Linked DNA regions of Callithrix jacchus. The protein of the gene in region 3 interacts with the protein of the main gene of each other region in a biochemical or structural test. Links are inferred from orthologs where the notes say so. Each region holds a gene or a part of one and is shown on either strand. Other genes may lie near its edges. The genes, in order: TNRC6A, DICER1 and AGO2.

Region 1 (3,650 bases), on a different chromosome or scaffold from region 3:
GAATAAAGGTTTTGGATTTCTAATAATGGATTTTAAAATGATGATTAAGCTTTGAACTAATTTTAAATTTCCATTTCCAGAATTTCGTCCTGGTGAGCCATGGAAAGGTTATCCAAACATTGACCCTGAAACTGACCCTTACGTCACTCCTGGCAGTGTCATAAACAATCTTTCAATTAATACTGTGCGGGAAGTTGACCACCTCAGGGACAGGAACAGTGGTACGTAGGGGTGCAGATCAATTTCTGAGTGAGAATTAACAACACAGTTTAAAAATGGTTCATGTAGTACCAGCTATTCTGGGAGACTTGAGACAGGAGGATTGCTTGAGCCCAGGAGCTTGAGGTTAGCCTGGGCAACATGGTGTGGGACCCTGTCTCTTTTAAAAAAAAAAAGAAGAAGAAGAATGGCAAACAATTCCCTATTTTCCCATAGGTGGCTTTTTAATTTGGCTACTTTTTAAATGATGAAGATTTCATCATCCTTAGTATGGCAAACATGTTATGTTAATTTAATAAGTTAACATGAAGGACCAGCAAACCTTTGCTTGCCAGTAATTGTGTTAACTGAATGACAAAACAACAAATGAAGTTATATACTAACTTGATACTGAGTTACAAGATTATGATTATTTAAAAAACAAGGCCTTATACTTAACTATTGTATATATTTATATACTCTGAATATTGAAGCACTTTTGTCTGGAAGAGCAAATTAAACTGTCTCAGAGAGTAAGAATAAGACCAATCTAAGGATCCCTGCAGTCCAGATGTGCTTTTTAATTGGTTAACAAATAACATTATCCTATTACCTGCCACAGTTACTTTTCACCTCAGGGCATTTACATGTGTTTCATCCATGATTTTGTACCAGAGGACTGTTAATGAAATGAATTTTTTAGATATTAAAAAATACTTTCTTTTTAAAATACCATCTTTACTTTTATAAAGCAAATGTGAAGCAGCCACCATGTTGCTTTAGACATGTAATTTGCTAAGGTAACAAGTGTCTCTGCACCAGCAGAGGAGAGTCCTCAGCATTGTGAAGAGTGTATTCCACAGACAGCTCTGCCCACTTTGAGGGACACTAAGCCAAGCATAAATTCTCACAGCATGGGAGTTAATTGAAGAATCTGATGGCCTATAGAAAGGCTCTGAAAGTCAGGAGAGTTTGGATTTGATGTTAAATCAAATAGAGCATTGACGGCTTTGAGTGGAAGAATCTTTAAGATGGGGTAATCTGGCTGTGGTCAGCAGAGTGGTTTGGGTTGGTAGACCAGGCAGGGAACTGGTATAGTCATCCAGATGGTGGTCAGGTCTAGAGCTCAACTAGAGTAATACTGAAGGGGGTTTTTAAAATGGAAAGCAACACCAGGTTTGGGAGCCTGAATATAGCGAGTAATGGAGACGGCTGAAGGCTCAGCTCACTGGCAGTGCCTGTGACTAGGTGCCTTAGAGAGCAGGCTAGCCAGTAAGACGTCCCTGGATCCCAGGGGCAAGTTAGGAGCAGCAAGACTCAAACCTCCTTTTAGACCCAGTGCTGGGAAGCAGAGCCCAAGTGCTGTCTTGAGTGGCTGCACCTCATTGCTAGAATGCATCCTCAAAGCCAGTGAGAACAAAATCAGAGGGAAAATGCCTGTGCCGAGCCAAGGCAGAGACAGCTGGTGAGCTTGCTCAGCATGCTCTTTTGAAGGCAAGAAGGAAGATGTCTCAGGCATCACCTTGTTTCCTTTCTTGTGGCATACTGTTAGACCTCGATTTCTCTGGAAGCTTTTGCTTTTTCTTGCTCTGGTGTCTGATTGGACTCTTCCCTCACTCAGGGTCATCCTCATCCTTGAACACCACGCTGCCTTCAACTAGTGCCTGGTCATCCATTCGTGCCTCCAACTACAACGTTCCCCTCAGCAGTACAGCACAAAGCACTTCAGGTGGGCCTCGCCTTCACTCGGGAAGGGAGGGTCATAGCCAAGGCCGCAGCTGTTGTTTTAATGCCCTCTTCTTTTTGTCCATAGTCTTCTCAGGGAGTTAAAAGGTTCTGTCGGTGAGCCTGGGAAATTATTTTTTAACATCGTTTATTCCTTTTTAAACTTACTGCACCCAGCGGTCATCTACTAAAATCAGTTTTCACTGAACCACTCTCACTCATCTGAGAGCCACAGCAGCTCTGTAATTAAATGTAATTTAATCCAAACTAGTTTTCAGACTATCTTCAGTGAAGGACCTTAAAAAAAATTGCCAGTGCTTATAGACTGATACTTTTGTAAAATACGGTAAACATGAACTCCAAATTGCTAGGAAAATGATGGCATATTGAGCTACAGGAATGTCAGGTTGCTATCGGTCTACACATGTGCACTCTGAATTTCTGGACTCATCCTGTGGCAGATTAATATGAAACTGTGTTGTGACTGCAGCCACACCCTGAGTAGCACTGACCTAATGCACATGCACTTTGTAAGTTAAGTAAGAAAAGAGTTGGTGGTGATGAAAGATAGGAATTGTTCCCCGCCCTTGCTGTCCCCTCATGCTTTTAGCATGACAGTTGATGTAGTTTACTGTGTACCTGGTCCCTGCATACCCACTCGTGTCCCCATTGCTTCAAGGCCGTGTGCATCAGGAACAGGCCTGCTGTCTTTTTCTTTTCTCTCTTTCCTTTCTTTTTTTACTCTCTTTCCTTTTCCTTTCCTTTCCTTTCTTCCTCCATTTTACTTTCCTTTCTTTCTTTTGCCATGCAGGCTTAGTTTTGAATCCTAGCTCTACATTAGACCCATAGACAAATTACTTACCCACTCTGTCCTCAGTAGACTGTGTCGAGATCACAGACAGCACATGCCAGGTGCCCAGCAGCCAATGCATGGCGCAGAAAGGCAGGCACCCCGTGAAGATCTCCTGTGACAGCTCCTTCGTTGGGGCTCTTTTGCAGTTCTTTCTTCCCTGAGTAAACAACAAAGTTCTAAAATTAAATGGCCTGACTTTCTTGAGTGACTCAATTACGGTTATTAAGAAGTTCACAATTGCTATTTTAGAGCAAGTCAAATTGTTTTCCATTTCACTCAGAGTACAGTTTTGAACACTGGCCTAGGAATTTCATAGGTCTTAAAACTATTAATAATGGATGAATGGCTTGAGTGTTTTGAGGGAGGGAAGCAGTTTCTTTCCTTTGGGCTGATTTTCTTTTTTCTCAGTGTAGTTTGATTTGGGGGTTTTAGTAGAGTTTCTTTTGTTTGTTAGATTTGCTTTCTGTGGGAGAATGGACGTCGTTATTATTTAAATTTCCTCCTTTCTTAAACATTATTCCTCCCCTCTCCATTTTTTTCCCCCTTTGAGTAGCCAGAAATAGTGATTCCAAATTGACATGGTCTCCTGGTTCAGTTACAAACACCTCTCTGGCTCATGAGCTGTGGAAGGTCCCTTTGCCACCTAAAAACATCACTGCTCCGTCCCGCCCACCTCCGGGACTGACTGGTCAGAAGCCACCCTTGTCTACGTGGGATAATTCTCCCCTTCGTGTAGGTGGAGGATGGGGAAATTCTGACGCCAGATATACCCCAGGTAAGATGCAGTACATAAGGTGGTTTCCTGTGGTTTATTTGCAGAACGCTAACCAGTACTAACAGTCGAATTTAATAGAGACCTGAACAGTAGACTATT
Region 2 (3,650 bases), on a different chromosome or scaffold from region 3:
AGCAGAATGTACATTTATAATGCTTCCCTGAGATATTAGCAAATATTTCTGATCCATTTAAAAAAGACAAAATGACACTGGGCTTTCACTAAAGTTAAACCTGCCTTGGGACCAGGCAGTGTAGGCCACTTCTTGGGCACGCCTCATGAAGGTGTGGGAAGAGTAAATAACTGAAAGGCCCCGGCTCCTTCTCTTCACCTGAGTGACCACACAGCCCACAGTGGGGGCAGACAAGTTTAAGAGGCCTACCTGCAAACTGCAGTTCACTCAGTGTTCCCCAGAGAACACACAGCACACTGAGTCCCACACTCCTGGTCCCGATGTCCCTTTACACTGCTATGCAGTCAGAACTCTGAAACTACTGCGACTCCTACTCAGACTGCTTTTTTCAACATAGTTTTGAACAGCACTAACCTCAGAATCCATTCCTTGCATTTCATTCTTCTCAAGCTGAAACTGCACAAAGTCATCGATTACATGGAAGAGCTCAGGAGAGACAGCTTTGAAGTACTTGTGGTAGTCATACTTCACAGCCAGCGATGCAAAGATGGTGTTGTTGACCAGGGCAGACCGCAGGTCCGTCAGGACCCCCGGGGAGTGCTGCCTCGGGTCTTCATAAAGGTGCTTGGTTATGAGGTAGTCCAAAATCGCATCTCCCAGGAATTCTAAGCGCTGGTAACAATCTGAGAGGATCCAAAGTGGAACCATGAGCTCTTGCAGAAGCATTTATACACTATCCCCACATATGCAACTGATCCCCAAATCCCAAAAAGATTTGCATTTATATTTTCATACATATATTCTTCAATAAGGAAACTGACATATGATACTTACTAAAAAGCATCTGGAAACTAAAATTTAGTGGCAAATTAAACATGTTTCTTATATAAATTAGGGTCATAAAATCTTCAAGTGGTCAAAAAACTAATGATTGCTAAGAAGGAAAAAAGAAAATCTCACAGGTGCTATCATGATCACTGAATGCTTTTCTCTGGCACTGAGCTGTCTGGGTAGGTGCTGGGGCCTTCCTCTCAAGTCTCCCTCACACATCATCACTTCAGTGAAACCAGGGCCGCACACATCTCCCCATGTGGCTATGCTGTGCTGCCATCGCTAAAGTCTCGTTTACACTCTAGAATGGGTGTATACCATTTCTGGTATACCATTCCTGGGTAATTTTTGTTAAACAGGATGACAGGAAAAGAAGACCCTCTTCTTAACTTGAGCTATTATAGCAATTAATTTACCACAAACCAAGAGATTGAGAAAGAAGAGTTGTGAAAGTGAGCAAAGGCAGGTAAACTGCTTGTCAAAATGTGAAAATCATTAATGTTAAATCAACCCCTCTATTTTCTAGCTTCTCACAGTGATTAAAATAATCCATTCAGCTGAAGAAACTGAGGCAGGCACAGATGGTGACCTGTCCCAGAATAAGCAGAGTTAAGAGGCAGAGACTATGCTAGGCTAGAACCCAGGTCTCAGAACTTCCAACAGAGTGAAGTCAAAAGCCACGCATCATTTCTTCATAATGAAAATTAGGCTTCAGTTTCAACAGTCTTTCTAGTCCAGAGTCACATCGTTTTTCACTTTTCAGTTTATATATTTTGCTGATCACCTTAACCTACATTGTTTTTGTTATACAAACTACAAACTTTGTACTTCGCTTTGGTATTCTGAATTCAGGCACTTCTTCTTATATAGAAATCTGTAAACGTCAGCTGTGTTTCACAAGCTGAAGCTGATTTGGGTCTGAGGGGCTTGTTCTCCCTTCTAATCTAGTGGATTGAGAGCCTATTAAAGGAGAGGAAAATAAAGAGCACAATGAGAAGTAGATGACAGCAGAGTCTCAGCAAGGCCCATTCAACCTTCTTGTGAAATCATTGCTTTTAATCTTTTAATCTATCCATCTCTAGAAAGACCCCAAGGGAGGGGTCTTTTTGTCCAGGAAGAACAAAAAAAGGCTGTGGAAATACATCCAGAATATACAACTAAATCAAGAACCAAAAGCAGCACTGAATGGGCAAGAGAAAGGTATTTGGAGGATAAAATGAGGAAAAACACACCAAAATACTAAGGCTCAAATTTCTCTAATTAGGCAGCATTAAAATGACGTTGATCAGGGCATATAAGACAGCCATACACCCAACAACCCAAGTTATAAAGCAATACGTACTCCCCAAATAACAAGGAAAATAAAGAATTCTTTTCCTTTTGTTCCCCCCATCCCTTGAATATTAAGCACCAACACTGTACACGCATACATCACTTTTTACAAGGCCAACACAACGCAATAAACACAAAGTCTCATTTTCCCAGAAATGAAGTTTGGTCGTGGGCTCCTTACCAGTGATAGTATTGTAGTGATAGGAGGCATGTGTAAAAGCCTGGAGAAGGTAAGCCTTATTCTTGAATCTGTAGTTGATTTTCTTTTCAAAATTTTCAAACCCCGATATAAGGTAATTCAGTGTTTTATCTGCATCTGGATGATCAAACATACATCTTGGTGGAATCTTCAAACAGCCATATTCCAAGTCTTTCAATACAGAAGAGCGTGAACTGGCCACAGAAGCAGCAGCACAGCTCACTGAAAGGTTCTTTTGTTGGTGGTTGAAATTCTCCCGAGTAGGGCACAGGGCCTTTTCCCGATCAGTCCTTTTAATTACCGGGAGCACCTTCAGCCCCAAAGAACAGAGGAAAAGCTGAGCAGCCCTCTCCCCACAGCTGGTTAAATAGCAGCCCAGCAGGGCTTCCACACAGTCCGCTATGCTTTTGTCAGCAATACACTGCTCAGTGTGCAAGTCGTAAGAAATGGACTGCTTTCCCGTGTCAACACCACAGTTTTCTTCTGATGGATTCCAGAACCCCACCACAAAGTCATCTTCTTCAACAGCTTTGCTAGGATCCAGATAGCACATTGCATCCCAAGAGCTATAGTCAAAATCCTCAAAATCTGATGAAAATGGCATACTACCTAAGGAGGATTTTTTGGGCATTTTCCATTCATATGCAGAATCAGTGGTTGAAAAAGGAGAAAGAGAGATTTTCTTTACAAAAGCCCCTGACCCCATTAACATGTTATCTATAAATCTAATATGTTCCTGATCGTACTCCAGGAAATCATCTTCACAGTCAGCCTCCTCCTTCGGAGCCCTCCACATCAGGCTCTCCTCCTCATCCTCCTCCTCCTCGTAGTCCTCATCCAGTTTGCCATTCGCCAGCATGCAGTCTTTTGTCTGAAACAAGGGAGAATGGGGAAGGAGGGGAGACATAGCTGCTGTTTGTAAAAGGGTTTGAAACTCAATAAAAGCAGGGGTTATGGATAATTTCAAATGACAACCACAAATACTAAAAGGCAACTTTAAAATCATGGCCATTTGTTTTCAATTAACATAAAATAAGTTATTTAATCATATAAACAAAGTAAAACATGTTCTTTGAATGTTCACCTCCTAAGTTATAAAATGACCTTTATCCAGTATGAAGCTTTAAGAATTCTGAACATGGATATAAAGTTAAAATTAATGTCCACAATGCAAAATTTCAACTAAGAAGTCTAACTCCAGCAGGACACACAATGAAAGCACTCATAAACTGATCACAGATAGCTTCAATTTTGCTGACAAAGTTTGAAAATGTGGTAATTTGATTTT
Region 3 (3,650 bases):
CACATCCAGCCACGGACACATTATTGACACGTAAAAGCCATACTTCTCTCCTCCAAGTTCAACATCCCAAAAAAAGAAGGAAAGATAGAGCTGTTGTTGTTGACATCCTGGTGACATTGTCCTGGGAGTCGCTGTTTCCCAGGCTGCCCAGTGAGCAGCTGACCAGTTGCTTCATGAAAGAGGCCAGGAATAGCTGGGGCGTGGGGGGAGCCATGGAGCTCTTTGATGTCAGGTTTACATCTGCCAAGGATTTTGAGGGTGCCAGTGTTTTTATTTTTAACCACCCAGCATTTGCTTGCAGCCAGGGCACCGTGGTGTGAGTGGCCTTCCTTTTTTTTGTTTTTCTTTTTTTTTTAATTGAGACAAGGGCTGGCTGTTTCCTAGCCTGGAGTACAGTGGTGTGATTTTGGCTCACTGCAGCCTCCGCCTCCTGTGTTCAAGTGATTCTCCCGGCTCAACCTCCCAAGTAGCTGGGATTACAGGCACATGCCACCATGTCTGGCTAATTTTTGTTTTATTAGAAGAGACGGGGTCTCAAATTCCTGGCCCCAGGTGATCTGCCTGCCTCAGCCTCTCAGAGTGCTGGGATTACAGGCATAAGCCATCACGCCTGGCCAGTGTGAGTGGCCTTTCTAGGTCCTTCCTTGTAGCTGGGCTCTTTCTCTCTTGCTCTGGGGCCCTGGATTAGGAGTTTAAATGGTTTTGTTTCATAAACTGCAGGGATGAGTTCGACTCACCCAGCTTCCCTTCCTGAGGGAGGAGGGGAAGCCTGGCCTGAGCGAGGTGGGCACGGCCGTGCTGGAGCCTGGACTCCAAGGAGCACAGGGTCCCTCTCGGGGCCAGTGACCCTCTTCTGTTGCTGACCTTGGACAGAGGGGGACACACAAAGCCCAGCACAGTTGCTGTGGTTGCACTGCCAGATGGGGGTGAGAGGGCTGGTGGCAGCTGCCATGCTCGCGGCCAGATGAGGAAGGGGCATCAGCAGAGCTGTGTGTGTGCCTCTTGTGTCCCTTAGCCGAGGTCAAGCGTGTGGGAGACACAGTACTGGGGATGGCCACACAGTGTGTGCAGATGAAGAATGTGCAGAGGACCACGCCACAGACCCTGTCCAACCTCTGTCTGAAGATCAACGTCAAGCTGGGAGGCGTGAACAACATCCTGCTGCCCCAGGGCAGGTGAGGCCCGGAGCCTTCCCGTCCACCTGCAGAGCAGGCACCGTGGGACTCCTGGCTGGGTGGGGTGCGGTGTGCAGCGGGGCAGGGTTCCTTCACCTGGGCTAGCGCTGTCCTGACCACAGCAGAGAAAAGATACCTGACATAGATCTGGCTGCTCACGCTCTGCTAGAGGCCAGGGGCATCTGCAGGAGCTTGAGCACTGTGGCTGGGTTTCCAGGCACAGAAATTCACCCCTCGAATGCCAGTGGGCAAGGCAGAGCAGGGCATGCCTCAAGGGACCAGGAGATGGGCTTCCCACTCCATAGTAGTAACTGCTGTGTGGACCAGGGACCCCCATGCTTCCCACACTAGGCTGGGCATGGATGCTGCAACCATGGATGGATGGATGCTGGGACTTTGGACTGAAAGCTCCTCATGGGACACACTGTTGTTGGCAGCTCCCAGGCCAGGGCAGGACGTGTGGCCACCTGCCTGCCTCAGAGGCTCAGGGCTGACGGTGTGGGGAGTGATGGAGCTGCACCCTCTTGGGCACCTCCTGACCCACTAAGCATCCAGTCCGGGGGGGGCCGGGGCTTGCTTCTTCCCCTCCTCTGAGGCCACCAACCTGTGATATAGGCGAGAAAGACGTCTCCATGATGACCAGCATCTTTACCAATCCTGGCAGTTGTCTTACCATTTGGATGACAACAATAGAGAATACGTAGAATCAGATAACATGCGCATTTGTGCAGAAGGGAACCATGGAGGCTGTGGGCAGCCCCTGTGGCGTGGACCTGCTGGAGCTCGCAGTCACAGTGGGGCTCATGTGAGAAAGGCATCCTAAGCCAGTCAGGGCGCTAAATCCGCTTCGCTCTCACCATCACAGAGTTAAGAATCCTAAATTGAACTGCCTTAAGGCAATGACCCTCTGTATTTGGCAAGTGGGCGGTAGTGAGCCCCTGCTGTGTGCACAGGCCTGTGCTGGGTCACAGTGTCCTCACACCGGAACCCCAGCGGGGCTCATTGCCAGAGTGTCCTACTCAGCAGGACTGATCGGGGTCAGGAATTTCCACCCCTAGCAAGTGGACACGCAGTGCCGATGCTGCTGCATGCGGGTCCAGGCTTTGAGGGCCACCGAGTTACACACTCCTGGAAACAGTCCGTTGAATTCATCAGGGAGCAGGGTGATACCGTGGGAAGAACCCCGATTCCAAGTCGGATGGCTGTGGGCGTGGGCACAGGCCCTGCGGTGAGACAGTTTCGTGGGAATGAGCGAAGACCAATCCGGAGCTGCCTGGGAACTGAAAGTGCTGCTCCTTAGTCCACAGGTTCTGTATTTATTGAGTGCCTGCTGTGTGCAGGGAGTCTGGGCCATAATTGGGCAGCACAGGGCCAGAAATCCTGGTGGAGGCACCCAGGTGAGATGATCATGAGCCTATCACACAGGCGGCAGGTGCACAGCAGAGCTGTGGGAGGGCCGTGAGGGCAAATGGGAGACAGGCCCGCCCATGTGCAGCCCGGGGGCCACTGGGGAACTAAGTCTCCCTCCAGTCCGCTGGGGCCATCCGGAGGCACCTGTCTAACAGTGTGGCCAGCTCTGGCTCCATGTAGCTGAGAGGGGCTGGTGGCCTGTCCAGGCCAGAGCAGGGGGACAGGGGAGGGAGCACCTGGACTCTGAGCTGTTTTGAAGAGAGAGCCCCAGGGCTTTCTGGCAGGTTGGATTGGGCTGTGCCTGAAGGAAAAATCTAGGCTCTTGGCCTGGACTGCAGGAGAGACTCCGTCGGCATTAGACAGAGCGGCTGTTGGGAGGGTGAGCACCAGACGTGGGTAAACTGGACCCCGAGGGCTCTGCGGAGCATCTGAGCGCAGATGATGAGTGGACATTGGGAACCAGGAGGCTGGCGTCAGGGGAGACAGGATCCAAGAATCCTCAAGCAGACAGGTGGTACTCCAAGCCCTGGGCCTTGGAGAAGGCTGGAGTTCAAGGCCTGGAGTGGGAGGAACCAGCAGCGGAGATGGGAGAGGCTGGGGTGGGGAGGCCAGGCGAAGGGCCCTAGGCACCAAAGGAAGTGTGTCCTGTGTCCAGCCAGACGCAGCGAGGCTGGAGGTATGGCCGTGGGTCTGTGTGATGCTGAGGTCACTGGTGACCTTGGGAAGAGGAGCCTTGTTGCCGTGGCCAAGGGCACGTCTGACTAGCAGGGGCCTGGGAGCCAGCGTGAGCAGTGATGAGTTTGGCTGACTCAGGGAGCTCTGCTGGAGAGTGTGGGCGGGTAGTGAGTCACAAGCACGTGGGGACATGGATGCCTGGAGAGGGCAGCAGAGGCGAGGGCTCCCGTGTGCCATTTCCAACAGGCAGGGCTGGCAGAGCGGCCACTTCTGATGCTTCCTGACGTTGCCTGCAGCTCCCAGGCAAGGTTGGGTGGGGTGCAAGGCAGTGCACTCTCAACCCGGCAGCAGTGCCCAGAGGGAGGGGCTGTCAGCCTTGGCCTTTCCCCA

Evidence for each region.
Region 1: the proteins of AGO2 (region 3) and TNRC6A form a complex in vitro, tested with the Homo sapiens proteins (2 studies listed by BioGRID). The link is inferred for Callithrix jacchus from reciprocal best matches to the Homo sapiens genes AGO2 and TNRC6A.
Region 2: the proteins of AGO2 (region 3) and DICER1 form a complex in vitro, tested with the Homo sapiens proteins (2 studies listed by BioGRID and IntAct). The link is inferred for Callithrix jacchus from reciprocal best matches to the Homo sapiens genes AGO2 and DICER1.

What each region holds. Positions count from the first base shown.
Region 1 is NC_133513.1:25,409,141-25,412,790, forward strand, and holds part of TNRC6A (trinucleotide repeat-containing gene 6A protein), read left to right. Parts: intron 1-80; coding exon 81-221; intron 222-1,819; coding exon 1,820-1,927; intron 1,928-3,329; coding exon 3,330-3,551; intron 3,552-3,650.
Region 2 is NC_133509.1:129,910,029-129,913,678, forward strand, and holds part of DICER1 (endoribonuclease Dicer), read right to left. Parts: intron 3,234-3,650; coding exon 2,345-3,233; intron 684-2,344; coding exon 415-683; intron 1-414. UniProt on the Homo sapiens protein: Double-stranded RNA (dsRNA) endoribonuclease playing a central role in short dsRNA-mediated post-transcriptional gene silencing.
Region 3 is NC_133517.1:56,993,375-56,997,024, forward strand, and holds part of AGO2 (protein argonaute-2), read left to right. Parts: intron 1-1,015; coding exon 1,016-1,175; intron 1,176-3,650.